Neodiprion lecontei: one gene and its partner. The protein of the gene in region 1 interacts with the protein of each later gene in a pairwise test. Links are inferred from orthologs where the notes say so. Each region holds a gene or a part of one and is shown on either strand. Other genes may lie near its edges.

Region 1 (17,670 bases):
TACGTCCAACGGAATAAGTATCGGAAGAAATTTTTCATTCATCGATTAACAAATCATATACAGATGATTATTCGAATAGATTCTTGACTACAAAGTTCTGTTCAAAGCAATTCAGTGAATAAAATTGAGTAGCTGAAACAGACAAAAAAATTATACTCAGCTTACAATTAGATGGGATAAAATATATAATTTGCAAAAAAGGGGAAAAAATTGATTAGCTGACATAGATAAACGGATGATTAGCAATAACGACGGAAGTGCCTAAACTGACGAAACCTATGTCGAGCCAACCATATCATTCGCGGCAACAGTCTTTCACTACATTATTTCTACTGATAGATACGCTGCGTAATTAGACTAATCCTAGAGAAATACCCTTACCTAAATACGTGCAAACTTACTAACTGACATCATTTACGATAAAATCGATTATTTCTTAATTAAAGTACATACCTTCTAGTTTCATTCGCTATAATGGTTGGTCTAGTTTTCACTTTCTTCTCAGAGATCAATTAATCGGGTTACTTCATTTGGAGCATCGTTAAACGCGATCAATAGTGATACAATGTAGGCTGTCCCTGTAATCAGGTAAGAGAAAACAATATCTGATTACTATTTCACCTTCCAAATTCATACACAGACCATTGGAAATTGACGATTGTTTTTACAAAATATAATCAAGGACTGGATAGCAATAAATTTCAACTCAGAGATAAATTTTTAAATTGAAAGTAAAAGTGGTGTGATAGTATAATCGGGAATGATTTTAAATTCATACCTGTTTTTTATTCTACCACAACATTGTGACCTGTTCAGCTTCTGCATTTTGTTTTCCAACATTTATTGCCAGAGATCAATTGAGATGATCACTAACCTCGATCAATATTGCTGTAGTTTAATTCTGTAATCAGATAAAAGACCACAGCATTTTATTAAAATTTCCTGTCCAAAATCCATCTACTCAGTATTCAAACAGGTGCAATTGGAGTGTTTTATGTATTGTGTCAAGGCTTGTACAATGTTATCGATTACATAATCGAGTAAAAAATGATCGAAATGTTTTATATCTGTTCCTTTTTCAATAAATTCATCAGTTCCTCTCGAAAGTAAGTTTTTACTCGTCAGAAAATCAGGCGAGCTGCGCACTAAACAGTCAAATTTTTACTGAATTACCGTTGCACGCGACGTCATGGCGGTCAAGGCGTAAACCCTGAAATCTCTGTAAGATAACGTTATCGGCAACGCGTTTTTGCATCGGTACATAGACAAACCGGTATTACAGAAAGCTATTATATCAGTCTCCTCGGCCATAAAATCATCGTGAAGTATAGAAAACAATCATTAGCCGCGTGGAGCTTGCCCGTAGTAAATGTATCCGATGCGTTTACGAACACTGGCTATCTTACTACTATGACGTCATCGTAACCTAAACCATTCTGAAAATATCGACTGGTAAGACTGCCCGTTGCCTTGGAAATATACCGTAAAGACGGAAGAGTTAACACTGACGTTTAACAGAAAAATTGCGGTTTGAAATTTAATCTGTAAAGATGGTACGTCAATATAATTCAATGAGTAAATAAATGATGCATCTATAATAACTTCTTTCTCTACAGGCACAAGAAGTCGAGGAAACCATGAAGCGTATTCAATCCCACAAGGGAGTGGTTGGAACGATTGTAGTCAACTCTGAAGGTTAACCATTTCACTGTCTTGTGTATTTTAATTTATTACTGAAAAAACAAAACAAATTCGGTTACTTCTAAAATCAACTAAAATTATATTAAACGAGATAATGATTGTAGGAATTCCAATAAAATCGACGTTAGACAACACGACAACAATTCAATATGCAGGGCTGATTAGTCAGCTATCCGACAAAGCTCGTTCAGTGGTACGGGATCTGGATCCCACTAATGATCTCACTTTCTTGCGAATCCGAAGCAAGAAGCATGAGGTGATGGTCGCCCCGGATAAAGAATTTATACTTATAGTTGTGCAAAATCCTGTCGATTGACAGAATAAATAATTTTTGCATTCTTTTTGCGCCTTGCATGCAATTTTGTAATACATAATTTATATGAGCAACACTGCTCTAATTAGATACTAAAAGTTAATTTAACTGAGCACGCTGCTAAAAATTTAATACCGTTCTTCTCGTCATCTCACATTCTCTACTGCTCTTGTCAAACTGTTGGCACAATTTTAAATAATTTATATACATTAATTGTCCATTATCTATTGTTTATAATTTATTTCAATGTAAAAAAATGTTGGTGAATTTAAAATTGTTGAGTGTATGTCGACGATATTTGATATAAATAAAGTTTATTATAAATACATTTGTTGTTATTTGCGTAATGACTTTGAGTATGTATCAAAACGACATGCACTTACATTAACGATATATTTACAATTCACTAGATTCTTTACAACTGGGTAGAAAGTAAAGTTTCGTCAAAATTGACAAATACTTGAGCTTTGAAATGCGATGGAGATACAAATTATAACTGTTTCAACCTTTAAAGTATTCATTCACATTACGATATTGTTCAAAATGACCTACTATGGCATTTTTTAATATAAGCTGGACTAGATTCTATGTAAATCATTAGTAAAATATCACTCAAGAAAAATAAATCAGATCAACAAAAAAAAATTATTCAAACACTGAAATGCAGCTGGGTATGATTTTTACCCATATCAATGATTGTACGAATAAGGCATACTTCACAATATTATTAAGAGTTAGCAGGAACTTGATATTCCAACTATTTATACCATTATTGTAATCACCTCACACAAGAATATTTGTATAATATAAATATATACATGTGTACTGAAGGAGCACGTAAGTCAGCCTTCTACTTAATCTATTAATATTCCACCATCCCATCTTTGTGCCACTTTTTGCAAAAGGATATAATTTTATAACTAGAGCTTACTAGAAGAAGTCTTAGGTTTGCATGTTTTTATGGGCTTCAAAGATAAAATTCTTAAAAAATAATTCTTAAATAATGTATGTGTAATAGCAGAAAGAATCTAATTAGAGCCACCCTATATATTTATATCAGAACATATGTCACGTTGTAGATTCAAATACCGTAAATTCGATTTACTGTAAAGTGAGAGCGCTTCAATTTTTGAAGTTAATTTTCTAGGTGTTCACGACCTTTTGAAAACTAAATTCTTCTTCAATCCAATTATCATCCAATCAAGTTATGTAATATCAATCATTTGGATACATTGTTCGATTGTGAAATTAAACTTCATTGGAGTACAAGAAGAAGATTGATGGCAACTAGGTATACTTGTTTCACCATATCTTTCTGCAACCAAATTTCGAAATGATTTGATGGATGAGTTGCGATGGTACTAAAACTAAATCGCATTATAATCCATGCGTTTGCTGGGACATGTATTACTGGCGATACATGCCCTGTCTAATAGTAAATAATATACAATCTAAAATACGCTGCAGCAAACGTATTAAATAATACAATAAGGTAACAAGAGATTCTTTAATAATACTACTGCTGCTGTAGCGGGCAATAGCGGCGATGATCTGTTTTCCTTGTTAGACATTCAGAACGTATCACACAAAAAATCCCCATCTCTTTCCGTTAATAAATTCTTCAATAATATAGTACATCAGTATAGTGAGTAAATTACTAGTTTTTAAAATATATATATATAAAACTACATTTAATTTAAAACTACATTTAACTACCTCAGGAAGCCATTCTGCAACCTTTTTCATCAACTAGTATTTGTTCGCGGGGTTTTGGTTTGTTCGAAAGAAATTTTTTTTCATGAGTCAAAATGATCCGTGCTGAACGTCCTGAATATCAATCGTTATGAAAGAAATAAGTACTTGCTAGGAAATTTAGAATGCCGTAGCTCTAGCAAATGCGAAACGTGATAGATGGGCATATCACAGACGTGCAAATTTTATAACCTGACAAGAAAACACAAAAAGAAATTCTATGTTTGAAATATTTACTATAAAAATAGGTAATTACTAGGAAATTTAGAATGCTGCAGCTCCAGCAAATGTAGAACGTGATAAATGGGCATATCACAGACTTGCAAATTTTATGATAATCTGATGAGCAAACAAAAAAAAAAAAAACATTCTATGTTTGACAGATGTACATAGTCATGTGTTTAGATAGAGAGAAATAGAGATTTTCGAAGCGTGGAGTATACATGTTATTTCAAATAAATTGCATGGTACAAAAAATAAGATCGATGAGAAATGAACGCTACTACGAATAATGTGTCAACTGACTGCAGTGACTTGTTCAGGGGGGGAGTTTTTGCGTTTAGTTGTGGGGTGAAAATACACGTAGTAAAGAATCATGGCTGCGATACCTATACAAAATGGTACAGTACAAAGAACTATCAAAAATTCGAAATACCAACGATCTCGGAGCTTCTGATTGGCTTCCGTAGCCCATAAAGCTGCGGCAGCCCCGTTCTCTACGGAGCATAATACATAGTAAAATAAGTGTCTGACAAAAGTATGACCATCGGTTGGATTCAGGTATGTGAATACATAAACGGTGCCAAGCACAGCAGCAAAAAGTGCAGATCTTATTCTCTCGAGTACTGTCAATGGGGAGAGTGGCGAGTTATTTACGTCACGGCAAAATTCTGCTGCTCCGCCAGGCTCTGCAGCCAACCAGGTAGTCATGATTGCCCAATGACAAGCACAGGCTAGCCCTGTGTATAAGGGCTGCATGCTTGCAACAACGCTGATCGACAAGATGCGTGACACTGCAAATAGAATTGAAGAAATGTTAGAATTGCGATTTTTACGACTTCATGCTTCAAAACTAGTATTTTTAATTACATATTTGCGTAAAATGTATAACAAAATATTAATAATTAATGTTTTTCCTATGTCCCTCAGTTATTGTTTACCCAAACAAATGCACACGACTATTTACAGCAGATCTTTCGTCATCTCTATGAATTTTGTTCTACATTTCTCACCCTCTATATTGCAAAATAAATCACAAGAATGACACAAAATTTACATCATAAACTCAATGGACACATATTTTGAAAGTATATCAAACTAACGAAAACAGAAATGGAGAACAAAGAACTGTCCAATAATATTCTTTCACTGAATTTTAATATTTGTATTGAAAAAGACTTTCAGAGTTCATTTCATTCACCCACATTCTCTCTCAACCGTCATTAATTTATGAAATCATTTTTACCAGTAACACAGAAATGCCACAAGAATTGAAGAATTGTTCCAACAAGGTCAATGTTTGGTTTGTCATGTTGAGCCAAACGGATTGTTCGATGATAACTCGCCATAGACCAACCCATGCTCACAAGGGAGCTGCATACGCTGCCTATCTGCAACACTGCAGATTTGAAAAAAAAATAAGAATCAAATATAATCCCAAGTGTAGTATGAAAAAATGTAAGTATGATGAAAAAAGTACATCTTGAATAAATGATACATCGATGCTACATCTCTGCACGATATGTATCTATACGTACATTGAAAAGTCAATTCAGATAAATCATCGTCTTTAAGCAGAATGGTAAGTTGAAGGATTTGCTGAGGTGCAGCCTCGAGGAAACATTCGAAAACTCTGAGCAGTGCAACATTCTGATCTTCCTTAATCATTTTCAGATAATATCGCCGTTGTCCGACTAGGTCCCCAGCTTTTTTGCACCTTCGTGCTTTCATCGCATATCTAAGACTATCCCAGTAGCGGAGAACTGGAGCAAATTGAAACAAAAGCACCAAAATGCACCATGTCTTTCTCCTTGCAGCCCTAGTTGTTGCCGTTATCATACCACCTTGCTTTCCATCCTCGTTGACAGGGATTAGGCCGAGCTATAAATAAACATAAGAATAAATAACAGATTTTTGGAGACGAATGGTAGACCGTATATGCAGCTATATCCACCTGGCGGTCCTGGTAATTTATTCTGAAGCTGATGAACGTATTTACAAATGTCGGAAAAATTATGAACACGACAGTCCAAGCAAAATATGTTATCTTGTTATAGATCAGATATCGAGCCGCTAAGTTGATGTCAGCTCCGATATCGAAAATATGGGTAACGATAGAAAAACTCAGAAATATTATATCCCAACGTGTTACACTGGCACTTTCATCTGGTCGGTCGGTTTCATCGTCATACTCAATGCAACTCTCTGGATTGTCAGTGTTCTCAGCGCAGTTGTTGCCTAACCTCCCTCGCAAACTTTCCACACCTTCATGTGTCCTCCTGGCTTCATGGATGCGCACCGGTGATAGCATGTTCAAATGAATTCCACGCATTTGTTCGAATTATATTAATATATTTATAGTTGCTAGAAAAAAGAGTTGCACTGAAATTACCCTGAATACCAGACGTTTCGCTTTTAGCTAGCCACCCCTTTTTCCGACTTCTACGCCCCCCCTCCCGCACGTTTTGCCAGAGGCGACATATTACTGCGACAGATCAAAATTAGATCGAAAAAATGTCAAGGTCTTTAAACTTTGAAGCGTCTCCGCGTGGACTCTTTTGACAATCATTTTACACCAGCATCGGTATTACGTATCCGCGAAAAAGTATAATTTCGTTCGATGTTTTTTAGTTTGGTTCCAGCTAACAAAAAGGTGAAAATTGCAATAAATCATCTTGTCAAAGCACTGATACCACCCTGTCATCTCGTTATACTCATTATTTAACCACAATACACACTGATACACACCAATGCAACCAGTGAAAATATGTATGCCATTGGCAATATAACTATATCAGTGCCTACGGCGTATGAAATTATTTTGTGCCATTCGTGCCAGCTACGTCACGCAACTCTCATGCTACCCCATTCTTATCATTAGCTAGCTGATTTATCGGTTCAATGAAAATTAAAATCGGTCTGTCTCTTCTGAGCACTTTCCAATGGCCAAAGAAAATTAATGTGTTTTATACCAATTCAATCTAATTCTAAGTCCTTGGGTAATAGTCTTTATACTTTTCCCATGTATTTTATTATAAAGTGGAAGATTTCAAGGACAAAGAGTGCAATTGCTATATAAAACCAATTGATTCGTATCAACGTGTATCTGAACATTTTGCTTGAAACTTACAGACTTATCTTTTACGGAATGAGCATTCGAACGGTTCGGCAACCCTGTTTGAGTCAGATAGGAATCATGCGAGAATATCACATCGTATGTTGCCTTCATAGGATCAGAAAATCTAACAGAGAATTTATGGTCGTGCCTGTTAGAATGTTACGTGACTTTACATCTATTGAATGCCCCGTGCACGTTTGCACCGTAGTTGGCATACATTTGCGTGATTTTCGATCTGATCGTGCATGAACTCATTGCTAAAATCGTTATATGAACTTACACCCTTATTCATAGTCCTTCCTTGAGGAACAAGGATTCCTTGTTCGTGAAACGTGAAATGAGGAACAAGGAATCCTTGTTTCTCAAGGAAGGACTATGAATACGGGTGTAAGGCTCGCGGAAAGTGTGGGCTAGATGAGCCTGAATACGGTTAATATAGAAGTTTCCTGCAATTACCAACTATTCTCTCTCACCGACCCATTAACGTTGACTTCAGACGGTTAACATGCCAACATTCCTAATTTACTTTTTCATACCAAATAATGAAGTTTAGTTACTTGTCTTGAAATATTTATTTCGTCTATGCCCAAGTCAATGTTCGGTATTATAAGTCACATAAACGGATAGAAACCAAGATAGGCTCGTCGTATACTCTATTAAATTTAGATAAAATGTTACATGGCCAGCAATGAAGGTGGAACTGATACTTCAGAAAGCCCTTGAATATCCCAATTAAGAGAAACTAAACGTTTCGCCGTGCATGTTACAGAACAATGGATCGATTCGTTGAAAAATAAAAATTCCGTGGTTAGAAACATGACAACTGCGACTCCCTGTTGATGACGGCTCGGTCTTAGAGCTGTCAAGGTGTAAAAAACGAGAGTGATAAATATTTAGAGTCAGACTTAATAAAGACTGTACTGTAATAAAACAATGGCGACTCGAAGTTTAACAGAACCTTTTATTCTTATGCGTAACAATGCATCACAGACTCGACACATATACTCTGAACAAGTAAGAAAATTTTCGTTAATTCATTTACTGATGTTAGCCCACAGTAATTTCTTCAAACTTGGTTTGATTAACCATATGCCAATTGACAGCAAATCATCATGCGATAATTACTATTTTAACACAGAATTTGTCGGACAGAATGGCTCTTGTAGCCCCGGAATCAATGACTGGAGGTGACGTCGAGTTAGGGGGTTTGAATTTGGCTGGAGATGCACCACCTGCATGGTCTGATGCTCTGGAAGAAACCCAATACATCCTTAGTAGACTGCGAGCAAAGCTTGCTGAATTAAAGGAACTTCATGCAAAGCATTTGACCAGGCCAACGTTGGATGACACGTCTCAGGTATGACTGGAGCTGGCATAAGGCTCTAGTCAATTCATATTGAAATGTAAATGGAATATCTAAGTATCAGCATATTATTTGCCTTCCACCTTTTTCTGCCTCTTGTAATATATTATTGCCTGAAATAGATTTCAGCGAATAATCATGTTCTTTTCAAATGAAAAAAATTAATGTCAGGGGATTTTAAATGTAAATATTTGTAATAAATAGCTCTATTGAAAAAAGTTGAGCATAATTTTGTATGGCATGTGCAGGAAGAAAGGCAGATGGAACAATTGACCAGAGAGATGGGAAGAGCATTTACAAGTGGCCATCGGCAAGTGCAACTTATCAAGACAGCTGCCAGACAAGAAAGTAGAGCAAGTGAACGTCGACTTGCAGCCAGTGCCGCAGTAGCTCTTTCCACTGCTCTCCAGGAGCTGGGGTTATCCTATCGAGCTGCGCAAAGCCACTACTTACAGCGTACTATCACTATTGATATAATTTTATCATCTGTTCAGCCAGAATCCTAAACCTGAAGATGTACATAACACTGTGTTAAAATTAAACTAAAAGTCACGATGTTCCAAGTCAAGTAAAAATTGTTATGTTCAAGTTTGATAAAAGTCAGAATCTTATTCATTACTAAAATGCTGGGGGAGAAAACATAAAAGAAATAGGTTCAAAAGATCTCTGTTCAGTGATGCATGCTCCATTTTATCGATTTTACTTTTATTCACTCAATGCAACTGCAGTTCTCTCTTGGGCAAATTGACATTGATATGTCTATATGTTTTTATCTAGGTTTGATCGCATCTAAAAGAAAAACTCAAATTTATGTCAGTTAAGATCGTGGCTTTGTTTAAATATCTGAAGGCTGAAACACAGAATCCGATTCACAACATAATCGTGTAAAGATTATTCAATCGTCATCCAGGCTTTATCTAAATGTAATCCATGTTAATGACAGAATTGAATTCGAGAGAAGAAAGAAGTCGGCAGTACTTTGAGGAAGATCAAGAGTTTGTTTCTGTTGAACCATCGGATTCATGGGCAACAGATTTAAAGTTTGCTCAGGTTGGTGGAAGTAACTATGAACAACAACACGAACGGCAGTTGCAGCAAGAGGTCCTTTTGGAATTTGATGACGAAGAGCGGACCAGAGAAGCAATGATAAGAGAACAAGAAGTCGGACATATTGTACAGAGCATATCTGATCTAAATCATATATTTAAGGTAGAGATTTACCATGAAGTTATTTCCTTGCTTCAATACAACAATACTTGTAGATTTTTGATACAACCAAATAAAACAAACCAATGGACAATCGTTACTAACAATCTGCTTATGATTTTTGTAGGACCTGGCACACATGGTTCAGGATCAAGGTAGCGTATTAGACCGAATTGACTACAACGTTGAACAGACACAGATACAAGTGCAAGAGGGTTATAAGCAATTAAAAAAAGCTGATACGTACCAAAGAGCGAATCGCAAATTATACTGTATTATGGTGCTAACAATTAGTATAATATTCCTCAGCTTCCTCTTTGTTATATTCAAAACCTAGTACAATTGTATTAATAATATCACTGAATTAAGTAATTATCGTCCCATGGTTATTTAATTAATTAATCACTACAATGTCGAATTTATCCATAGGCAATTCATGTGTATGTATGTACGTACCTATGTACAAGTATAATAATGATATGTAATGCTGACAGCTAATAAATTATCAACTATTTATTTAAATGAATATAACCAGTTACTTGGCGTCATTGTGCTGCTCGCTGAAATGAAAATAAAAGTTGTGGAATTTCAAGTATCCACCAATCAGATGTAACATATCCTAATCAACCTAACCTTACATCTACAGAAAATATGCATGACTGCTGTGTGTTAGAGGCTTGAGCCAAGTTCGAAGTTTCATCTTGGTGATGACGCTGTATCAGTTACTGTATTTTCAAACGAATCATCGGTACTAAAAATTCTACGGGATTAAAGGTAGGGTGTATTCCGTTGTGTTCCGAGATAAGCTGCCGGTCCTAAAAATTTCTGAAGACTGAGAGAGAGCTCAGGAAAAATCGGGTAGAGCAAGAGAGATAAAGACAGCAAGCTGAGTTCAGAACACAACACATTTTATTATCCTTTCACGTTCGTTGTTCAAGGTGACGTGACGTACGCGACGATTCGTGTTCCGTAGATTTTCGAAAATATTCAATAGTGTACTAGATAATTATCCTAGGAATAAATACAGAGTGCACCACAGAGTTCACTGAAACATGAAAATATTAAGAAACTAGCAGAACTTATTACTCAAGATGTATTGCACGTTAAAAAAATGGTAAGCCAATAGATATTCGAAAAATACTGCAATTTGAAATTAATTTCAAATTACTTTTTGTCTAAAAATGATTTTTCTTAATATCCAGCATCCGCAGCCAAGACGCTGTAAGGGCCCTAAGCACAGGTGAAGTATCTACGGCTTTAAGACCCTTCTATTTCTCTGTGCATCCCGACTTGTTTGGCCAATTTCCCACACAAAGGGTAAGTCCTTGTTTTCAAATTTTTGTTTTGTATTCTGTGATGACATAAGTTATACTGCGTGTGTTTCTAACATGGATAGGTATAGCGTTAAGATCTGGCAGATTCTATGTTATTTATATCGTACATACTTGTGCGTGAAAGAGTTTCGTCAATCCTTTGTTCATTCACCGATTTCAAGTGCTGTACAAAAATGCCAACACTGGAGCAAATATTAATTATAAAGTTTGCTTCATTTAATCTCCAGACTGTGAATGAAAACTCCCTGAAGCAGTTGAGTTCTTTGATTGAAACTCTGCAGCAACGGAGGCCAATCAGGCCGACTACGCTGCCCTTTTATCTACGCTCAAAAGACGAAAAAGAAGTCAAGGCTGGAAAATTTACCTTGGTGAAAATACAGTTGGCAGATCGTGATGTCAGAGAAACAATTCTGTGCATACTTAAGGCATGCAATCTTTCCACAACTTTCGTTGATAAAATAGAAGAGAAAAAACCACCAGCTTCAAAGCTAAAGTCACAATTTTGGCAGAGGTATAGAGCACATGATGGCAGAATTGATTTTTCTGAACTTGAGGATGATCCTATCTATGCTTCCATTATTATGAGGAGGAAAATCAACTTGGAACCTGACACGTTCAAGTAAGTGTATGTATCAGCCCTAAACGCGATCAACCTTTAATAAAATTCAGCTCTTTCTTTGGTTGGTTTTCACAACCGTCACCTTCAACGTTCAAGACAAGGTTCACGATGTATCAGTGCATAGACGTTGTGAAATGTATATGCAAAGCACAAATAAGTCTTTAAAATTCTGTCATATCTTAGAAAATTTGGTAGAAATCCATTAATTACTGATGTTATTATATATTTCCACAAGTAATCATCTAATGCACGCAGCAAAAATAAACTGCTTTCAATTTACTTTGATAAACCAATTATTTTTATAATGATCCAGAACAAAAAAGATGAAATCAGGATGATGATATAAATAAATAAAAGATGGGGTTTAAAAAACGGCTGCGACCACTTTTCATACACATTCAAAGAAAAATCAGCATTACCTTCAACTAACGAAGAAGCATTTTCTTTCTAATCAAGTTATTATAGGTTTCATGCATTCTATACATTGTGTAATAATAGTGTCCAGAAAAAAATGTTGAGTGCCTGGAAATGTCAGAAAATTAGTACATAATTATATAAAAACTTATACATAAGTATATTTTGGTTTGTACTATGGATTGTTAAGAGTCACAAAGATGTTTTGGTGTTTCAGAGCATATTTAGAAAAGCATAGCAATGAAGCCCTTGTGAAATTAGAGGCATGTCGACCGATCCGTGAGGAGGTGGCCAAACTAGAGAAAGAATTATGTTTAGACTTGGGCTTGAAGAAAATAGTTTGGGACTGCGGCTGGAATATTGCTCACTATCGCGGTTGCTTATTAGCCTTTCTGGCACTCTCCAAACACCATCCTGAGCCCATGAAAGTTCTCCAAGGTAGAATTCTAGTCTTTGCTAATGACACAGGCATCAATTTGGAGGGAAATGTAATGTTGAACTCTGGTGAAGTGCGGCACAACTGGCTTGATGTAAGACATGTTAATAGATACAAAATTTTGAAGTAGAAATTGAGTGGTAGTCGTTAAAGTAGTATGTGGTTTTAACGGTTAACATTGCAGCTAGTGAAGAATGTGAAAAAACAAGATGCTGTTCTGCTGCGGCTCCCGGCATTTGAAAAGGCTGTCTCTCAAGTTCTGCTTGGCATCAAAGTTGGAAGACGGTGTGTAACGTAGAGTAGGTAATGAGTGACGGTAAGGCTCAGGGTGCAATTTATGTGCAGGAAATTCATGCCGAAGGTCATGGTGGATCAGTACGAACAACAGTTGCGTCAGTTAACTACTACTCTGAGTGACTATCGTAGCCGTAGAAAATACCCGACAGATTGGCCCGAAGATCTGAGCGCTTACGAAATTGTAGTCGAAACGTAGGTTCTTCAGAGTCTTGTGCTAATTTTTTTTCGAATTTCGATGAAATTGAAGCAATTATCATTAAATATCTATTCTTTTTAATAGCGAAGCTGGGCCTCTGATGCTATCACCCACAGGACAATTCATCGTTCCATCATCCTGCCCTAGTTTTCTATTAATTAGCTTCATCACAGAAAATTTGAATGCAGCTACTGAGAGATTAAATCATTACAACAGGTATGTTTCTTCACAAAATTATCAGGGGTTTTACAAATCTAGGAAATCGAAAAAACTGCCAAAAGTCAATGAACTCAATTACTGACTTAGACTTGATGACACAACAGCGAATCATTTTGGAGTATCAGCTCAGCTGCTGTTAAAAAATCTGTGCGAGAATATTTCCTTGTGGCACAAATGTCAGATCGACTATGTTATGCCCTTATCATTTGTAACTAGTTGTGTTGCAGACAAATATTTTCATTACACTTTGTGAATAAATTCGTTTTATTGAAGGTTTTCAAAAAACTTAACAGTTTAATGTATTTTTCAGGGTGAAACACGTAGAACGAGAGCTTCATAGAAAAGTAGCACTTGAGCTAGAGCTGGCAGCGCTAGATAAAGATGATAGCATAACACCAGATTTGATGATAGAATGCTGCGAACACCTTTTGCAGAACAAAACTGTTCTAATGCCAATGCTTTCTGGGATTAGGCTATGGGTCACTCACTACTATTCAGTTATGAGCGATGGAGTCTTATGTATACCATGGGACTGGAAAATATGATATAACAAATGTTTCATGATTTTCAATATCTTTAAAAAGACTTCAATAACGGTTCAACTATAGCGCATATTGTTGTAATTACAATTTTTTTATTTTTCTTTTGAATTTTATTTTCAATTTCGAAAGTTTACCTATTTTGGTATATTCTTTTAATGTATATTAAGCAAACTTGGAATGTTAAACTAGTATAGATTAGTCAACGAAGGTTCTTTTCATTCGAATCGTAATGAGATAATTCTGTGCCATTCTTAGTAAGCAAACAGATTCTAATTCAACACTAGCGAATTATATTTATATCTAATTTAGCAACGAGACTGTAGTACTATAGGTAATGACTGTACAGACAGTCTTGTATCACAGTTTTAGTCAATTATTAACAATCGTATTTGTACAATATCGGAATATCGATCACATTCTAATCAAATTTGAATTCTAAAGGGTGCAATTATGGTACATGTAAATACATTTTTATAAATAATGACAATATTTTTTGTCAGTGTCGCTATGTAATCTTGCGAGCAAAGTACATGCATTGGTTAGTATGTTTCATTTACTACTTATGCGTAAGAATAAAAACAAAGGCTGTAAAGATTATGAAGAAATTATGCATGAAATTTAATTTGAAATATCTTCTGCAAGTCCAAAATAAGACCCAGTCTTGTCAAATTTTTCATCTAAATGATTAAAAACGCTTTATTTAGAGTACAGACTTCAACAACTTTCTTATGAGTCAGTTTTTTTGACAGTGCTGGGTAGGAAAAAACACAAATATACCACATATATGTATGCCTGCGCTCGAGATCAGCAAATAAGGATTTTCAATACAACATGAGCAATAGTGCCAACAAATATTAAAATAATGTAACTTAATTTTTTTCTAAAATTAGATAATAGCTTATATTTTTCTAAGCTTGTTGTAACAGGCTGTTGTATAAAATGTTGTTTGCATCTAAAAATAAGTAGAAATAATGAAACAATTGACAATAGCCATATGACATTATTATCTTGTAAATAAATTGACCTTGTTAGAAGAATTCGTTTATTTTCTTGTCTTTTCACACGGACCGTGGACAAACAAACGCCAGTCGATTCTGAAGAAGTCTGAAGGGTATATTCCGCAACTTGACAAAGATTCGGAATATCATTGTCTTATTTTAATTGCTATGATAAACAAGGATAAAACAGCGAATGAGATTAGTTCGGAATACATCTTACCAACCTTACCAACTAAAGTTTGTGAACGCAGCCCAGAATTTCATTGTCATTTTCCTAAACGTCAAGTTCGTGGCACTCATTGAGTTGTCGCGTAGTCCGTTGTTGGGAGTTGTGTTTCATGTTGCGGATTCCAGATAAATAAAGTTGTGAACGTGATTAGTGCGTAGATGACTAATAACGGCTGCACCTTGATGCACAAAGTTCACTTTCACAGAGAATAGCAATAAGCTATTCTCTGTCATTTCATTATCAACCAAAATTGACTGCGGCTGACAATCACCACTACAGTTCGGTGTCCCATGTACACAAAAACAATAAAAATGCCAGCCACGAAGGATTCGAATATTGTTAAAATAGCCATAGAAATGGCCGATCAACAAGCACAATTAATTGAATTTAATCAAAAGCAGCCTTTGACCGGAATAATTCAGGTACATACATACTTTAATTAAATGAAGATTGAAGAGCCTATTCATCCAACCTCCAGTTTACTTTTCAGCGAATTATCGACTGCCAATAGTACTGAATGCGGATATTCAACCTAAGGATCAAATTAATCTAAATAAAAATTCAATATCTGCTATGCTCTATGCTTGTTGCACATCCTTAAAATATTTTGACTTGATAAAAGTATAGTTTGTTGCATACATTGAATTCAAGTAAAATCTTTGGTCATAGCGACAATATTATTTATAAATTATCTATTTTCTGATGAACTCATCACTGTATATTTCGTCTTGCAGGAACTGTGCAATGCTTGGGATCTCTCAGATCCCGACACGTATGCTCTGCAATTTTCAGATAACAACCATAACTATATAACAGAAAAAAATCGGAATGAAATAAAAAATGGAAGCATTTTAAGACTGGAACATTCACCTTCAAAAACAGCCAGCGACATACTAGCTAAACTAAACAATGGCAATAACGATGAAAAAGTTGCAGCACTCCAGAAATTAAGCACTCTTAGCAACGACGTTACATTTGCTTTGGAATTTATCAATAAACAAGGCTTGGCTCTCATTATTTCACAGGTAATTTTTAACAATGTGACTATTTGCACTGCAGTGTAAAAGTATTCAGGCATTTTGGACACCCTTGATAGGCTGAATATTTACTTGTCCCTATTATTTCAAAAGCAATTGGAGTTTTCGAACAATTATTCAATTTACATGACAGATGTTAAATTAGGGTCGATTACCATTCGTAACCATAGAGAGTAAGTTTCTAATAAATTATATTCACATGGAAGTTTGGTGTGCCTCATCAAAATTGTTTTCGAGTTATTTTATCTACAAATGAATCTGGAACAATCATGACGTGCACACTTGGGTTATAATGTAACTTCAACTTCAAAGGAATCGAAGAACGATAAAGATCCTTCCATGATCAAACCTTGTCTCATCTCATAGTTTACTATGCAATGTGTATATGATGTAACATTAATGTTTAACCAAAAACCAATCCCTTTAAAATACAAAAACTATTCATACCTTGTATTTAATAACTAGGAATTGCTGCTTCTTTATTCTTCTAGTAAACAGCTAATACTGCTCTTACAAATCTGTAACTCTGTTTCTTGAACGATTTGTTGATCCAAATCCAATGTTCTTTCATATGTCTTTTTATAACGGTAGGTTGAGGCTGGTAAATCTAAAAGTAACACACTAGCCTTTCTCTTGCAATCCTTTGTGGAATTGATGGATCATGGGATTGTATCGTGGGATATATTGGAATCTCCGTTCATAAATAAGGTGGCTAGCTATGTGAACAATCAAGCGACTCCGCCGGACTCTAAGGTCGTCGAAGCATCCTTGCAAATTTTGGAAAATATTGTCGTGAATTCTTCGGGAAAATACAGTCAAGTTGAAAAGGAAGTTACTTTTCCAAATTTAGTCATGCACTTGCAAAGTCAGAGCCCTCAAATCCAACAAAATGCTATGTCCCTCATCAATGCTCTATTTCTCAAGGCAGACTTGCCTAAACGGCGAGCTGTCGCTGCTACTCTGCAATCTAAACAATTACGGCTCGTCTTTGTTACCAATGTTATACAATCAACAGGACAGGTAGGATTTAATAATAAATTGGTACTCAAACATGAACATTTTCTCATAAAAGTTTTCTTAAATTGTTCAATTTACTTCCAGGTTGGCAGCGAGATGGCACATCAACTCTATGTGCTGCAGACACTGTTGCTAGGACTGTTAGAACAGAGAATGATGACTAAAATGGATCCCCAAGATCAGGATGCACTTGACAAGATCAAAGAACTTCGTCGCATTGCATTTGATACTGAAGGGTCCGTAAGCGGAGATGTAACAGCTCGAAAACAAGGCATTTTTGCTAAAGATTACAAGAAACTAGGCTTTAAGTACGATATAAACCCAGCCATGGATTTTACCGAAACTCCACCAGGAATGTTAGCTCTGGATTGTATGGTTTACTTTGCCAGAAATCATGTGGAGAGTTACACGAAGGTGGTTCTGGAGAATTCGTGTCGAGCCGATGAGCATGAGTGTCCATTCGGACGAACTAGCGTCGAATTAGTAAAACTTCTCTGCGAGGTAAGATTTTTGAGCGATTGACAAGTATTTGACACAAAATTGTATTCAAGTAATGAAATATGCTATGACATTCCAATATTTTTCGACCTTCTCTTAGGTATTACGAATAGGTGAAGCTCCCAGCGAACAAGGGCAGTGTTATCACCCAATGTTTTTTAA
Region 2 (16,836 bases), on another chromosome or scaffold:
ATGGTTCCAATTGCCTGTGAAGCTTCGAGTAACCCTTTTGCGCCGCGTTGTCATGTTCTTTTTCAAATTCTTCCCAAGAGTTGAATCTATGTGTTTAAAAACAATTGTAATACATGCCGTTTAAAGAATTCGAATCAGTTTCACCAAGTACTTAATACAAATAAAAAAAATTCACTCACTTGTTAGGCATTATAAAATGCAGCAATGCCCACAACTCTTTCAAACTGTTTTGCAACGGAGTTCCGGTGATAAGAAGTCTATGATTGGTATGAAACTCTGTCAATGCTTTGTATAAAAGTGAATCATCATTTTTGAGACGATGCGCCTCGTCGACGAGCAGTGCGGCCCAATTTATGGCCCCCAAGAACGTTTTATCCTTCAAAACTATTTCGTACGTCGTCAAAATTGCGTTGAATTTCAACCTCTTTGAACTATAACACCATTCGAACTCCCTGATCTGTAAGCCGTAAAAATACATCAAGTAAAACAAAAATAATAATAATAACAAAGAGAACATTGAACAAAAATATTCTGCCAAATTCACAACACTTACCACGTTCCTAGACGTCACATCACCAAGGTAAGTTACAAAATTCATATCTGGTGCCCACTGTGCCATTTCTCTTTGCCAAGACGTCATCGTAGACAATGGTACAACCAATAAAAATGGTCCATACAACTGTTGCGTGTGAAAAAGGTAGTAAAGGAAGCATATAGTTTGTATAGTTTTTCCCAGACCCATCTCATCCGCGAGAATAACACTGAAAATAAAAAAATAAACATCAACAAATTATTAATAATCTTTGATTCATAGTCATGTGAAATTATCGGCACTTGCTTGATTTTTGATAACGAATTTCGAATATATAACATATATCTCATAGCTTTACCTATTCTCTTTACACCAAGAATGAATCAACCAGTTTAATCCGTCCATTTGATAGTCTCTCAAGACTAAATCTTTCCCCCTTCCCATGTATTCGGGCTGCCCTTTGACTTGATGAAATTTTGGTCTATACTTTAATACTTTACAGTGTTTACTCGGTGTTCGTTTCGAATCTTCCCTATCGCGAAATTCCTTGATCTTCTCAGGCCATTTTTTTATTATCAAAGCTCCATCTTCCCACGTCGCATCGGCATATGGTAAACTTTCCCATTTACAATAATAATCTGGATGTCCAGAATCCGGTTTGTTATATTCAGCTGTGAAAAAATATTATTTCAACAAATAACGGCGCAGATAAAATTCGTCTAGTCTTTTATCCAATCAAGTACAACAATTAACAAGTTTTTACCAATTATCCGTTCTACGTAATTGTAGCTTTTCAATAAATCCTGTTGAAGTTCCAGCTGACATTCGAAGTAGTCTATATCTTCAGGTCCAGCATAGTCTCTCCATTGTTTGATTTCCCGTTCTCGCTTCACGAAATTTTCTAATTTTTTAATACCCTTCACCTACGACAAATAAAATAAAATATCGGTTTAAAATGTAAAATAGAATATACTCCAGTTTCCATCCACAACCAGTCTGTATAAAAGTTCGAAAATTTTCTCATACCTTTTGCGCCTTCAAAGAATCCTCTGATTCCCACGTATTGTGTATATGCGACCAGCCTTTCCATTTTATTAGATACTGCGTCTCGGCTTCTTCGTCCGCCAAATCTGTAGGATTCAGATCACCGTTTTCTTCAACAGCGTAGACAGTCGTCACATTTCCAGTAACTAACAGTAGCAAAAGTTTATACACGTTCGTTATAAAATGCCAGAAATCGTAAGACGATTTGCTTGTGTTGCGTTCATGTGATTTTGCTATAATTCGCATTGATTTACTAAAACTCACCTCCTTTTTTTCCTCTTCTCTGCCCCAGAATTCGTTCAATGGTTTCGGCATTATCTGGTTCCAACGGAGTCGCCAATGCTTCGTCAACCTCGACTATATCCTCACTGTCAGTCCCCTCTTCGCTCTGTTCTTTGTAACTGACTGCAGTTCCAGCCCGTCGCGTGACTTGCCTAAATTGATATTTATCGTGTGTTGAATTACCTAACGATCATAACAGCCCAAATAATTTTAAATTAATACTGATGCGTGCTCACCTTCGATTATCATCGCTGTCAAACGAAGAATTCTCCGAGGATTCTGATATTCGTTTATGACGTGAACGAGTGTTTTCTTTCACCTTTTGCGCTGCTCGACGATTTATCGATTTACTTGGCGGAGGTCTCCGTTTAGTAGCTTCATCCGATTCTGATTCTGAACTGTCAGAATTCCAGGAATTTTGAGTACTGAAATAAGAAATGTTGCAATGATAAGTAAACGAGTGCCACTGTGAGATGTTATATCGCGTATTAAGACGTTACACAAAACTCGACGACTAAGGCTTGAAGCTTGGAAAACAAATCACACTTGGAAATTAATTTTTAGCTTTATGTTAGCCTGTTAACAGCGATTAAAAAGTCTAACAATTCAAAGAATACATGATGATAACTTAACATGGAAAAAAGACTTCCTGATTCAAGTTGACGAGAATCAATGCAATGCATTTGTTGCGAGAAAAATTTCAACTTGCTTATGTGGGGTTTGCTGAATTACAGAAGAATTGAAGTTTCATAATTAAGACTTTGATATCGCTTTCCGCTACCGTCAAATATCAGTGTAATTGTAATTGAATTTTCGAGCAATTGCATTTTTCTCAAATTTTATCACAATGAAATTTCCTTACGATCACAGAAATCCCAAAGGATATAATAAAATACTTACTTATGATAGCGTTTTATCTATTTCATTCTCCTTACCTTTTTTTTTGAACCTTCCGTCGTACATCGCCGTCGCTTTCGCGTTGCGTAGTGAGCCTCTCTGGTTCCTTGCGGGATCTCCCCGATCTTCGGATTCCATAAACGTCTGGGTTTTCATCCCATTCACGACTCGAGTCGCTTTTATGTCGAACTTTTGTCTCTGAGCTATGTACCGAGCTTTTACTTTGAATGCTAACGCTTTGTGCAGGAGTATCCGATTTCGACGATTTATCTGACTTTTCAGAGTCCGAACCTGATGCTGAACCAGAACCGCTTGAGGAGCTAGAGTCACTGCGTTAGCAGCCAAGCAGTTTTGTTTTTTTCGTTATACTAGTATTACTTTTTTTTTTTGTCACCCCCTTTCAAGGGGTTGGTTAATATTGGTAAATGAATGAATGAATGAATAAATAAGAGATATCTGTTGACTCGCATAATGATTGACCGTATTGTAAGTTTCGAGATAATATATTGATTCAAACAGAAGATAAGTATTATCTCTGTTGAGAATTAAAATTTTGTTCAGGATTAATATCTGATAACGATAATCGTGCACGTGTTGCTCGCTTGTAATGTGTCAGGTTTAATTTTTTCAATATTAAATTCTGACGTCTCAGTGTCTCGTAAAATATTGATGAAATATCTATAATTGTATGATTAAATACAAGACTGAATTAACAAAATGACTATATCATTATTCAGCTTTTACGCTCGGATGTAATACATTCATTTCATTTCAATACGATTTTACAAACATTTTAAATAAGAAATATTTTCATGTGTGTAGAAAATGATACTGTTCGATAACTTTTCACTCTGGGAAGTAGTTGTTTATTGTTGTCTTTAGCGTAGATCAAAATTACAGTGACTCTGGTATTGACATAATATGATGAAACGATGTAGTAGTAATAAGTAAGGCAAACACGCAACTTGATCTAATTCTCACTCCTAAACTATGATTTAAAATACAAATATTCAAGAGCATTTATCACTTTATAGATTATCATAAAGTTTTTCAAACTTAAGTTCACAAGAAATATGAAAAATTCTATGTATCCCCCAATCTAATAATCGAAACTACTAACGAAATAGAATCGTAATAAGTTCATAAATTCTGGCCATTGTATCCAGAGCCGAGATGATCTGATTGTAATAATCATTAGCATGTCTCTAAGTTTAATACAAAGTTTAAAGTAAATGAAAAAAAAATATTTATTGGTAAATCAGAGTATGGAATGTAAAGTGAAGAAAAATGTACAACTTTTGTAAATTGAAACTCATTTGTGGAGTGGCAGGTAGTACAATGCCTCTTTTTATTTATTTTCCAACATCAGCTTCAAAGAACAAATAACAGTTAGCCGTAAGATCAGCAAGGTAAAGTTAGTACTGGCGTGCAAAGCTTGAGCAAGTAGCTTGATTGATTTTTAATCACGTGAAACTTCCAGAAGTATCGATCTGATCTCAGAAAAACCACAAAACAAAATTTTAAATACTGAAATTGGCTTTTACCTAATTTTATTAACCATTCATCCGATCTTTTAGTATTCACACAATACGACGTCCAATGGAAATCATAGAAGATCTTACTCATTCTTTATACTTTCTATCTCTGAATTCGAAGTAAGTATTTGAAATATAAAGCATACTTTTAGATGTACCAGAATTCAATTTACTAATTGTTTCCAAAAATATTCCGAGACTTAAATCAGAGATTATAATTTGCTTTTTTAGATATCCAGGTTTTCCCTGATACAATTGGACACCGTGTGTGTTATTACTAAATTCAATTCTTTCAATTCACTGCATATACACACCTGTCTGATCCAGAACCAGATCCGGAGTTGCTTCCGGATGATGAGCTGTCGCTCTTACTCTCGTTCTCCGAATCTGAACCAGATTCCTTACCAGACTCAGAATCTAAAGTTTTCTGTAAATGCAATTCGAAATATACAATCTAATAATCAGTAATCGCTTATACAGACATCTATATAAGAAAGAGCAGATACCACGGTGTTGTTTGGATATACTGTGCTAATATTTATCCAGTAATTCAATACCAAGGATATTATTAGGAACAGGAATGATAATAATATTAATAACGCTAATAGGTTTGACTATCTGTTGCAAATATGTAGTAGAATTTGTTATGGATCTATTCAATTAGACAGTGGTATATCATATACAATTTCCTGTTTACGAAATTCCGTAGATTGCTCAGCAGCCATTTTGTGGAATTCATCCGCCATTTTGTTTATGCCATATTATACCAAAAGCAACGAATTTATTGCAATTATAGCTTGCCGATATGGCTTGTGTTGCTTTGATAATTATTCTTAATCACCGCGAAGTAAAGCTGCTGGTTTTATTCAGATTTAAAACTACTTTGCTATCCTTTTCTCAAGATTTGCAAACTTATTGTACTTATACTGCAGGCATCCCAAGATCCACCTTATCCTTTGTCCACAGATGTCGATGGTGATGTAAATTCTGTGCCTTCTTAGCTTACGGAATCAGATCATAGAACAAATGATGCAACCTTGCTTACTAGATAGCTTAGATATATTATATACAAGGATGGAGATAAAATGACTTATATACTGTTTTTAAAGTGTAATAAATAGGTTTATTTATTAATACAAAAGTTACATCAACATTTCAGTGTTGATACAATCATTTGTGTACAATATGTAAATCCAGGTGTTTAAATAAGGTAATCTTATATTAGTTGTTATTTTGCATCAAGATCTCAGACAAAATTTACCCCACAAACATTGTCCAGCGAACTTTACATATTTGAATCTCTAACAGTTTGGTGATTGAGGGAAAAAAATATATGTGTGATGCGATAGCTCTTCCAAGTATCGAATGTAGATTCCTAGATATGTAAAAAGCATAGGAAACACTGATCAACGATAAAGAAATAATATTGAGTGATAAAAAACTGAGTTCTACGCGTTCCAATAGAAAAAATATGAATATACACTTCGCAAGGAATATTCAATAGCTGTAATGCAATTATTTATCACTAATTTGAATCGAAACTATGTGAGAATTAAATGATGCATCCCAATTAAGTTATAAGAGAAATAATACCAGTGCCTAATGGTAAGTATTAATTTGCATTATAACCATCAGATGGAAGAACAAAACTTTCATTGCCATAAATAATGCTAGTTTCTCTTTTCTTTTATGATATATCTATACGTATATATTTACAGTGATATGAATAATTGCTACTTGGATAAAATCTTCAACTATATAGAAACGAATAAGATGATTTGATTGACATTCGAATTCAGGAATACGAGCAAATAGTAATATTGAATCAGAGTAGTTATTATAATTTATAAAAGAAAAAACAACTAGCAATGAAAATAATTCTATGTACACGATACGCTTTCACTATCGAAATCTTTTATCTCTTTAGTTCAAGTTAGCAATGAGCCTTAGTATTTTATCTATTTTTATTTTTCTGTAGTTGTTCAATTTGCGAAAATAGTTTGTGTGGCATAACGAGCTTAATAAAAAAAACGATTGAGGACCATTTTTCATTTTGTCGCAAAAGAATTGAATAGCATTAAAAGCACAAATATACTTTTACAATAGCAATGCAATAAATTTTTAGACGAATGTTACAAAAATTTACGTTTTACTCAACAGTTTGTTTGCAGTGAAAACCAGACTACATTAACAATAAGCTTGTAAACAACATTTCTTAGCAGATGAGTATGGCTGTCGAATATCAAATGGATGTCGTGATTAAATCTGATTAATTTGGGCTTTTAAGCCGTACAGTGCAGATATTATTGCCTTGTAGAAAGTTGAATAACTTAGGTGGGTTTGAGGATAAAACTGATGCAAAACATATTGGCACAATGTTTTATCGATACTGGGAACACTGCTGTGTTTACGCACAATGAAACAAAGCGGTTGAAGCAGTAAAAGTATATGAAAATGATGTGGAAAATGATGGTCAAAGTTTGAATAGAATAGTAAGTAAGTTTGGAAGATTTGCCAAAACCAATGGCAGTAAGGATTATAATTTTTGAAGTAATGTCACAAGGCAAAGAGTTGCAGGTTATGTGGATAGCGTGCGGCCCAAACTTTAAGCTCAATTTGCAAAAATGGGTCCGTCACGAATATTTGAATAACTGTTACCAAAGGTTGGGAAAAATAGTGAGGAATGGTTTTGCGGGAAAATATGGTTGGAACATTGACATTTTAATTGAAAAAACTCGTTGTTAGTAGAATGTAAACAAACTTATAGGTTATTTGGATGATCAAGACTTTGTTAATTTGTGGAAAATTCGTTCAACAGAGAGACAAGTCCCTGGGCTCAGTCGGGGCACAAGGCCCCGCCCTACACGTAGAAACCCTTGAAATACAGGTGTAAATAATAATTTTAACAATTATCAAGCATTTTCTAGCCGCAGATGATTAAAACACAAGTCGCAAGGGGTATTTTACATTATTCCAAACAACACCGCGGTCGCATCGGGCAAATTGGTATCGCAGATAAACGGTAACGCTCATATCATAAATAAAAACAAATAATTATCGATGAAAATTGCGAGAAAAGCTCGAAAATTGACTATTTTTCGTACCCGTCCACTCACCTGCATCATTCCCCTTCACGAGTAAAACCAAATTCCTTATTTAACGTCGAATATGCACTATTTCACCCCCTGTTCACCCTTCCGATTACGAAACAACAACGTATTCACGATACTAGATATCACTGGTTATATTATATCCCGACATTGTTCAATAATATCGAATTTTCCCGTACTATATGGTCACGGACCTGAGCTTGGCCGCCATTTTGTGATCCCGTCTTGTTCGTCGCCCTCCTCGATTCCCCCCCTCTTGCGTCCCTCTCGACGGTACGACGTACCATCATGCATTGCGCGCGCGGGACATTACCTCACCCCTCGCGCCTCACCCGGCGCCATGGCCGTTTCAGGTGAGCGCCGCTGCGTCACGATTTCTAACTGCGTTTACATGGAACGTATGACGAGTAAACAATTCAGGTGGACATAGGACATATTTGTTGCCCAGTTACAGAGAAGAGAGGGGAAAAATACGATATTAATAATGGAGGATGAAAATTCAAGAAAAAACATCCTGCAACGTTCCGATCGATAATACATCCGTCGAATATATATGTACGCGAAACCGGCGTAATTTTCATCATTGATTAATCGATCGCGTGACGACAATGTGTCACAACATTTGGGTCATCGAACAATGAATCGGAAAGAAAAGAAAATAGAAGTAGAACAAAGAAAATTGAACATCGAGACACAACCGTTTGGCTGACATTTTTAATTGTCGTGTGGGGGGAATGCCTGAAATTGACCCAGAATACTACGCGATTGTTATGATTATTATTTCTTTCTTCATAACGACCTTGCTCACGATGCGGTGTCGAAAGAGGAAAAATCTTCGATCGCGACACACAGTTTCCGAGAATTAATTTAAAGACAGCAGCTTGTTCCCTCTTTCTATCGTTGGCGGGTTTAACGGGTATAGTTCGATGAGTCTTGCGATACATAAAGATTTGATTTCGAATAAATGAACCCAGAGAATTCCTCTCATCTCTCGCTACAATAAACATTTCATTGAAATGAAATTCGAGATTCGAATATTTTTGTACAAAACTTGCAACGCGTAGTAGGTACGGGTATAAGTAGGTAGGTAGGAAATTACGTATCCGTACGTGTGTCTGTGTGTGTGTCGTGTGTACACATACATATATGCATTCATCGTTATGTAAAGTGTTAGTGACGTCATCATGCGGGTACAAAGCGCCGCTCTAAGGCGGACTAGTAAACTACAAAGCTTTCATTTTCCATTACATTGGGACAGGGCCGAAAGCAGAGCGTAATTATTGTTTATACAATGGTCTGTAAAGGAACGTATGCGTAATTATTTTGCATTAAAACAATACATGTAATTTACCCAATCCAATGAAATGTAACGAGACTTTTTTCCAAGCAGTAGGACAAGTGTAATTTGTACTGAATGAAAGACGAAAAATATTACCCGGAGACCCTGTGACACAACCACAACGGAAAAGGAGGAGTTTGACGATGCTGATCGAGGCCTCGAAACTCGATCACGTTTAATGCAACAACTTCCGATCGACGCATGCTGTCGAGACTACATATCGATGTTCGATGGATCGAAAAAATCCGTAGCGATTAGTCAAATTCCGTGATATTTTTGCCTAAAGGGGAATTAGATATCTGGCATATTATATGTATAGATCAGATTCTTGCTACCTTCTTTATAACGCAAGATTCATTGTATGATTTATATTAATCAAATTTTCGTCAAATAATTGCAGAATGTCACTGATGTATTGGGGAAAAAAAAAAAAATCAACTTGAAAATGATTAATTTTAATCATTAATTTCAATCGATTAGTTATTTCTTAAAATTTGTCATAACTTAACAAATCTGTGGCGATGAAGAAGGAATTAGGTTGTACAAATTTGTCATTGTTAATAATGGTAGGTAATTTTCGTCGATAGGTAATTGGTAACAATATCATAAAATTTCAATAAATTGATAATAAACTTTCTTTCGTAATAGATAATTACATCAGATTTAATAATTATTGATCATATTTACATATTTATACAACAAATATTATATTAGAATCTCTTTTCCAGTAACACTTTCTATTAGTATAAATAATAATTAGTCGACTTGATGTACAAATATTTGGGCGAGGTCATCATGATCGTAGACACGTTTTAAAAATGTGTCCACTAATTTCAAACCTGAAACAGTCTAAAGGCGAAAATGATCTATCTTTAGTCTCTCTTCTGAAATCATTACCCATTATAATATATTGAAAATTATTTGTTTTAGCACTTTTCACTATACATGCAGCTTTGGATATGAAAATCTTTGAAAATAAATACTCACAACAAGCCCTGTGTCGAGTGGAATTAAACACAATGGAATGTCGCACGATGCTCCCGATTTAAGAGTTCCTATCACAGTCTCAGAGACTCCGCACCATGCTATAGACTTATTAGATTCTAGGCCCAACATTATATCCATACTTCTCTCTCTGTAAACAAAACATATATTGAACTGAGCATTATTTTTCATTGATGTTATTTTATTTCAATTTGAATACGATAAATTCGAAAGGTTCTCTACACATTTATCACTGTCAATGAATGCTTTCAATTACTCACGAAGTATTTACAATACGACATTTGAAGTTCACTGGTTCTTCCAGGTATGCAATAGGTGGTATCTCCTTCATTGTTACTCTCAAGTCTCCAAAATCTGGAGCCTTAAAGACAACCGAAAATCAATTAGATCGAATACCAGCTGAGCTTTACATGTTAAACGCATATTGCAGTTTTTGAAACAAACCATCCTCTGCAGCTGACTCGTTTGTAGGCGTCCTCTTTCACCCAAATTACTCCGCCAAACGATATCAAGTTTTCCTATGTTAGTTGCATTATGCATCATTTTTGGATCCTTGGTTAAGCTCGGCTGAGGAGTAAGGCAGTATAAGTACTGCCGGCTCGATCCAGAATCTAATAGATTCACTCGCCCGTAAATAGACTCACCTTGCAAGTTTGTGTTCAAGGTTGTTACTGTGGAGAGTACATTTTTAGTTAAAATTTTTCGTTTCCCCTGCCATAGTTACAAAAATTATCTCACCATTGAATAAATGGGATGACTCAAGTGCTACTTTCTCCAAACAAATCGGACCGGCAGTTTGATTCTGTATTTGAGCCTCCAGATAAACGTCGTCAGACTAGAAAAATCATATGATTAATCGTAAACTTTTTACATTTATAACTGGGTCCTTTAATTATAAATTAAATAGGATAACAAATTTTCATTAATGTATTCTTTGTCATAGTTTTCAAACAAAGATACCCTAAAGGAAAGATCATTTACCTCTGCATTATAGAATTTGGTTTTAACATCGAGTGGTTTGACGACTTGGAACTTGAAAAATTTGCGAAATGATAATGGAACAGGTTCAGAAACTGTGGGGGTATATGTAACTTCGCAAACCAATCTGAAAATGAAATTGTGAATTTTTATTTTCGAAACTTCGCAGTTCAGGATTGAAGAGAGTGGTTTGCTCACAAAAGTACACCAGACGGTTAAAATTTTCAACCAAAGAAATAACACGGATTGCTAGTAATCTGAGATTTTATAAAAATTGAAGTTGTCAAATTCCAATAACTATAGATTTCACAGAGTGGAATCAACAAAATTTCTACCTGTAAACAGGAACCCAATAATCTCTGAAAAATTTGACTGTACTACAAAACACCAAAATATAATAAATGCCATACTACAGAATAGCGCAACTCTCTTACATGTGTGTCCCAATCTCTTTAACTTCGTGATGGATAACTTCGTCCACTGTATTATCAGGGCCTAGTTCCTTAGGCATACCGTTATGACCAGACAAAGGTATTCGTTGGGAACTAGTTTGAAGATCAGCCTGTAACAGATTTTAGTTAAAGCATTATTTATGCCAACTCAAATGTTGTCATACAAACTGAAAAATAAAAGAATCTTACTTTCACCATCACGTCTTTAACTAATTGGGAACTACCGTTGTGAACGCATAAATAGCTCGAGAATATTTCTCCCAAGTAGATATTACTGAAACAATTGTAAAGCATTTATGATAAGTAAAATTATCGGTAGAAAATGGAAAAAATTTTTCATCTCGGCCACTGTGATCAATTATTACCCAAAACTCTGTGGCAACATCATGAATTGGCCAACAGCAAGGGTCTCCATTCCCTGGAGGGAGGTGTTGTCATTTTTAAGCTCATTATTGAGCGTGTTACCTGGAAGATCTGTCGAGTCGCAAGAGACAATTACTGGAGTAGCAAGTGTCGGCCTGGTAAGCCGCATAACTAGAAATAAATAGAATTTAATGAAGAAGTTTTCAATTAACAAAACACAAAAATCAACGAATAAGTTAGGCGTATGAGGCAGTTGACATGAATTTCCTTACTCATTCAATTATACAATATTTTGAGAACTAATTGGTCATGATTGTTCAAACGCACCTTTTAACGCTAACAAATGTTCACTTTTCGGTTTTGCTTCCATTTCTCTCGTTCGGTGGTAATCAAGTAATAAATTCCTTGTTGTTTTTCAACAGTCAATCTGGATCTGAAAAATCTGGATGCATAACCTATGACATCTGGGGGATTCTTATGTCAAACATTGAAGCAGAGACCTACTCATCTCCATAGAGCTCATCGCTGATTGGAGTTAAGATCGTAGGGAATTCTGCGGCTGAAGACTGGCAATTTTGTAACTAGTAAAATAAATGAACAAATCCGGAATCTGGGTGATTCCGGCACAACCACAACGTTTGCCCGACGAAAGAGAGACGCTTTTCAAGATTCGAGAAAAAATTGATGATCAATTGAAGCAGTTTATAAACAGCAAGAATTTTTCCAACAACATAATGTGAGTGTGCTCTCAATAATATTGATCAAATTATCGTTGAATCTGATAGCATAAAGTAGACGAATTATTTCCAGTTTAGAAGTCACGAACAAAAACTAACCTAACTTAACCTCTCATCAAGATTTAGAATATTTTTTAAATATGATTTATGACCATACTGATGTGTTAACTTTGGCTAACAATTGAACTCTGTTTTAAACGTGATACAACAATTTCATTTCAACAAATGTTCGATTACAGGGCGTCGCTAACCAAACCAAAGTCTGAAATGACACCTGAGGAACTTTCTAAAAGGGAAGAAGAGGAGTTTAACACCGGTCCCCTGTCCGTTCTGACACAATCTGTTAAAAACAACACCCAGGTTTTAATCAACTGTCGGAACAACAAGAAACTGCTCGGCCGAGTCAAAGCATTTGACAGACACTGTAATATGGTATTGGAAAACATCAAAGAAATGTGGACAGAATTACCACGGACTGGAAAAGGAAAGAAAAAGGTAATAAAATCGAAACTGACCTCACTTACCCTCAAATTTATAACTGATTGTAGGTAAAATTTAATAACTGTATGATTAAAAATTGCAGGCTAAACCAGTGAACAAAGACCGGTTTATATCAAAAATGTTCCTGCGAGGTGATTCGGTTATCTTGGTGTTGAAAAACCCACTTGCCACAGCATCAGGCAAATAATATCACTAGTTTGTAAGAATTTTGTAATTATTTTTAACAAGCTGCGATTATATTAAAATAAAGAACCTACTTTAAGCCGTAAGCCAGAGTTTATTTTAGCGTACTTCGACCTATGCATACTTAGTACATATCATCGATAAGATTGATTATTCAGTAAAAAAGAAATCAGATGACACTTTGTGATTAATTACACATTTGGTCATATCCTTTCGACCCGATCTCACCAATTAATCCTTTTCTGCAATTGCGGTCAGATGCTTATCGATTTCTTGCTCGTTGAGAACACTAAGAAGCCATGAAAGGAGAGAAAGAACGAGTTAATCACAATGTATAACTGCAAACAATTGGTTTAAAAAAAAAGCGACATATGAAAATTCATTCATGAATTACCGGAACTTCGGATTGCTCTGGGAGACAACTCCGACCTCAATTTCAGTTGGTTTAAAATCAACAGAAAGAACGGTCGAAAGACAAGTGATAGCCAGCTGAATCGCTTCGTCGTGATCATAGTTCTGCTTCTTTTTTAACTTTTTCTCCAAGTACGAGTTGGCCTCGGTTTGTTTAGCACCAACTGAAATTGCTCTGTAGCCACAAAAGTACCCTGCAGGATCAGTTTTATAAACACAAGGCCCTTTCTCCTGATCGTATGCTATGAGTACCATCGAACATCCCAGAGGCCTCATTTCCGCATTTTGAGTGTAAATCTGACTAATATCAGCCACACGGCGGCACAAAGTGTCTACAGGAATGCTGTAGTCATGTTTGTACTTGAAATGGGCAGCTTCGTAACGAGCACGTTGTACTTGAGATTTGCTGTCAGCTGTAAAAATATCAATTCATTAAAGATTCGTTCAAGTATCATTGTAAAACATAATGTAATTTTTATGATTTAATTAAATCGTTGTAAATAACAGTTTTGAGTATTATTATGAAAAAAATATACTCCACGATTAAATATTAAGTATCCTGAAAAATGATGGTTCTGTTTTTATAGCAAAATTTGATTCTCAATTAATGAAACCTTTTTCTAGAAATGTATCAAGAGCATAAATAGCAGTATTCTTAAAAATAATTAAAAAAAAAAAAAACACCTAAATTCCATAGGTTTCATGCTTAGAAACAAAATCTATGTATGCAGGTATACGTCGGGTAAGTTTCAATTAATCAAGGGGCCACACTTGAAAATGGTTGGTGAAATTGAATTGGTTGGAAATGATTCTTAAATTCACAATTGTCAGCAGAAAATATCTGTGACAAAAAGATTTTCTCGAGATTAGTTTGGATTGTGAATAAAATGTATAATGCATATCAATACAACACTTTTAAAACTCTCAATATCACAGGTTAAATACGGAAACACTTTAAAAATTTACCAATCATCCCAGTCATGACGCAGCCAATATCTTCAGTCAATTGGAAAACGTGTGTAACGCTTGAGGCATCGAGAAGCTTGTCCTGTAATTTAGATGAAAAGTAAAATATGAGTCAATGATGTGCCAATGTAAAACCGTTTTTCTCCTCAATCTGACAACATAACCTACCGGAACTTTTTTTTGTGTAGCAAATACCGCGGTGTCGACGCCTTTAAGAGCGACGGAGGTCAGGCCGCCTTGATTAATAGCCTTAAACGCATATTCTGGAACACAAACAACGTTTTAATTAATACAGAATACTATCCATCAAAAAGTGAAACACTAATCACGCCGAGTCATCATAAACACGGTAATGAAATGTCGAATATTGCACGGAATACTCGCTCGGGGATCGTCGGATTTTTCGTAAAGAAAACGGTGATACTGCCGACTTTTTTGCAGACTTACCTACTTGGTAGAGCCGACCTTCCGGCGAAAATATCGTAATATGCCTGTCAAAACCAGCGCTACTTCCTCGCGACATTTTCGCTCTCTGTACTGACGGCTTTGCTCACAGTCAGTTTTGCGCTGCTGTGGGGGGTGGGGGCGTTCCAAAACGCCACCTGAATGAGTAGATTAGCTTTCTTTTCACTCAGGGTGCGTTCCGATTCCGAACTACCTCCCAGTGCTGTCAACAATCTTTTATCACTTTTGCACTGCCGAGTTCGTGGGTAGGTCTGCCTTTGTCCTAGGGAGTTTTTAGGGCTGTCAGCCTATTTCGGAACACACCGTTTAGTCACCTGGGTGGCATTTCGGAACGCCAAGGATATCTGATTTTTATTTCATCAGTCTATTGTCTATTCTGTTACTATCTATGAGATTTTTAGATGGCCGTCCGCCGATATAAGCGACCTCTTTGTTCTGGTTTTGAAACCGCGGCGATTTGACACATTCGACCAACACTTGACACTTTCGAAAGTACATATCTATTTTTAAATTAAGTCCAAAATAATTATCAATTTCTAAAATAAACATATTAAAAAGATCAAAGTTCTTACAAAATGATGAAATGAACAGTTCAATTTTTTTCCTTTCAGAGGCTTAAAAAATTGATTTTGTACACGCGTCAATAAGCAAGTATATTTTGTTATTTAGCATGTATGTACTTCCAGAAAAATTAAGTGTCAACCGAATAATAAATATTTGTTTTGCGGTATATATTAGCATACACTTTCTTAAAGTATTTTCTTTTCATTGTCATTGAATAGTGATCAATTTCTTCATTTACATCACATACAGTTGTAATAATCAGGCAGCATGATCCGAGATAACAAATGACGATGTTATCAGATCCGGATTACGCTACTTAGCTATGTCATGTTATCTAGTATCTAGTTGGTAAAACTTCTAATGACATAATGTCCACATAGAGACTCGGTACCCTGAGAAGCACCGAAGAAAAATCGATTTGACACGTCAAGATGAGTTCCTTGGAAAAGTGTGGTAAGGATCGCACTAGAGATGGTAATGGCAAAGCAAAAGGGGTGTGCGATATTGGTGATTATAAACTTCGACGGTCGAACTGCAGATAATCGACAGTATGCATTGTTTAAACTCCCTTGCTACAGCGTTTCATACGCTATTGCGAAACTGAACGCATGTGACTCATAATCATTATATTGCACATTCTTGCACTATTATTTTCAAAGTATAAGTACAGCAAAGGTCACAGATATTGTTTTCATCTGGTGGTGATTGCGTTAAGTTTGATTTAAATTTTAATCAATTTTTTTAGGTAAACGAAGAAGGTCCAAAGAGCTTGAATGCACTCGTGATACCCCGAGCAAAGATGAATCATTGATGTCGGAGAAAGGGCAACCTTCGAGTGTAACCTGTGGAAATATGGCGACTAACCATGACTTTGATCCAACAGGTATGGTCGGGAATGATGCATAGGTATACGGATGTTTGTATATGCTAGTTATTTAATGTTGTTTCGCAGAACACCAACACATCAGATATAACCCTCTGAAAGGAGAATGGATATTGGTATCCCCGCATCGTATGAAACGTCCTTGGGGAGGGCAAGTAGAAGATAATCTCGACGAAGAGCTTCCCGAATATGATCCAAAGAATCCATTGTGTCCTGGAAACGTTAGGAGCAGTGGTAAAGTGAGCAGAACCTGCAAGAGATAAAGAAAAGTAGCGCAACTTCTCAAATACATTGTGATAACTGTTGTTTCCAGGTGACTCCACCTTACCGCAACACATATTCATTTGAAAATGACTTTCCCGCACTGTTGGAGTCTGTTCCAAGTCCGCCAGAATCTTCGGACGAGCTTTTCAAGATTGGTCCAGCAACGGGAAATTGTAAAGTGATGTGCTTTCACCCAAAATCGAACGTTACCATCGCTTTGATGAAAGTTGAAGATATCAAAGAAGTAATAAAACAGTAAGTATTATCGCAAAAATGTGTTTCAACTGTATGACACAGTGTCGTGAAACCTTGACTCAACATTTTA

What was found.
Region 2: the proteins of syntaxin-16 (region 1) and proteasome subunit alpha type-6 interact in a two-hybrid assay, tested with the Caenorhabditis elegans proteins (3 studies listed by BioGRID). The link is inferred for Neodiprion lecontei from reciprocal best matches to the Caenorhabditis elegans genes syx-16 and pas-1.

What each region holds. Positions count from the first base shown.
Region 1 is NC_060262.1:42,172,322-42,189,991, forward strand, and holds syntaxin-16, read left to right. Parts: upstream 1-7,660; 5' UTR 7,661-8,036; coding exon 8,037-8,117; exon of another isoform or gene 8,118-8,241; coding exon 8,242-8,460; intron 8,461-8,714; coding exon 8,715-8,922; intron 8,923-9,409; coding exon 9,410-9,675; intron 9,676-9,799; coding exon 9,800-10,009; 3' UTR 10,010-10,194; downstream 10,195-17,670. Other genes in the region: dynein light chain roadblock-type 2, read left to right, coding at 1,551-1,553, 1,617-1,695, 1,806-2,017; XK-related protein 6, read right to left, coding at 4,283-4,779, 5,232-5,384, 5,524-5,866, 5,940-6,317; T-cell activation inhibitor, mitochondrial, read left to right, coding at 10,764-10,786, 10,875-10,989, 11,234-11,625, 12,257-12,569, 12,660-12,760, 12,803-12,964, 13,053-13,184, 13,498-13,732; engulfment and cell motility protein 1, read left to right, coding at 15,247-15,378, 15,691-15,981, 16,585-17,013, 17,095-17,511, 17,609-17,670.
Region 2 is NC_060266.1:19,483,135-19,499,970, reverse strand, and holds proteasome subunit alpha type-6, read right to left. Parts: upstream 14,944-16,836; 5' UTR 14,859-14,943; coding exon 14,783-14,858; intron 14,599-14,782; coding exon 14,504-14,598; intron 14,418-14,503; coding exon 14,336-14,417; intron 13,783-14,335; coding exon 13,353-13,782; intron 13,248-13,352; coding exon 13,190-13,247; 3' UTR 13,033-13,189; downstream 1-13,032. Other genes in the region: chromodomain-helicase-DNA-binding protein 1, read right to left, coding at 1-86, 180-457, 554-761, 891-1,203, 1,296-1,455, 1,559-1,722, 1,841-2,010, 2,095-2,283 and 3 more; trafficking protein particle complex subunit 13, read right to left, coding at 9,496-9,588, 9,727-9,874, 10,005-10,105, 10,189-10,415, 10,483-10,579, 10,726-10,849, 11,157-11,284, 11,364-11,448 and 2 more; probable small nuclear ribonucleoprotein Sm D2, read left to right, coding at 12,131-12,273, 12,514-12,769, 12,858-12,962; probable galactose-1-phosphate uridylyltransferase, read left to right, coding at 15,796-15,871, 16,110-16,247, 16,317-16,486, 16,561-16,766. UniProt on the Caenorhabditis elegans protein: The proteasome is a multicatalytic proteinase complex which is characterized by its ability to cleave peptides with Arg, Phe, Tyr, Leu, and Glu adjacent to the leaving group at neutral or slightly basic pH.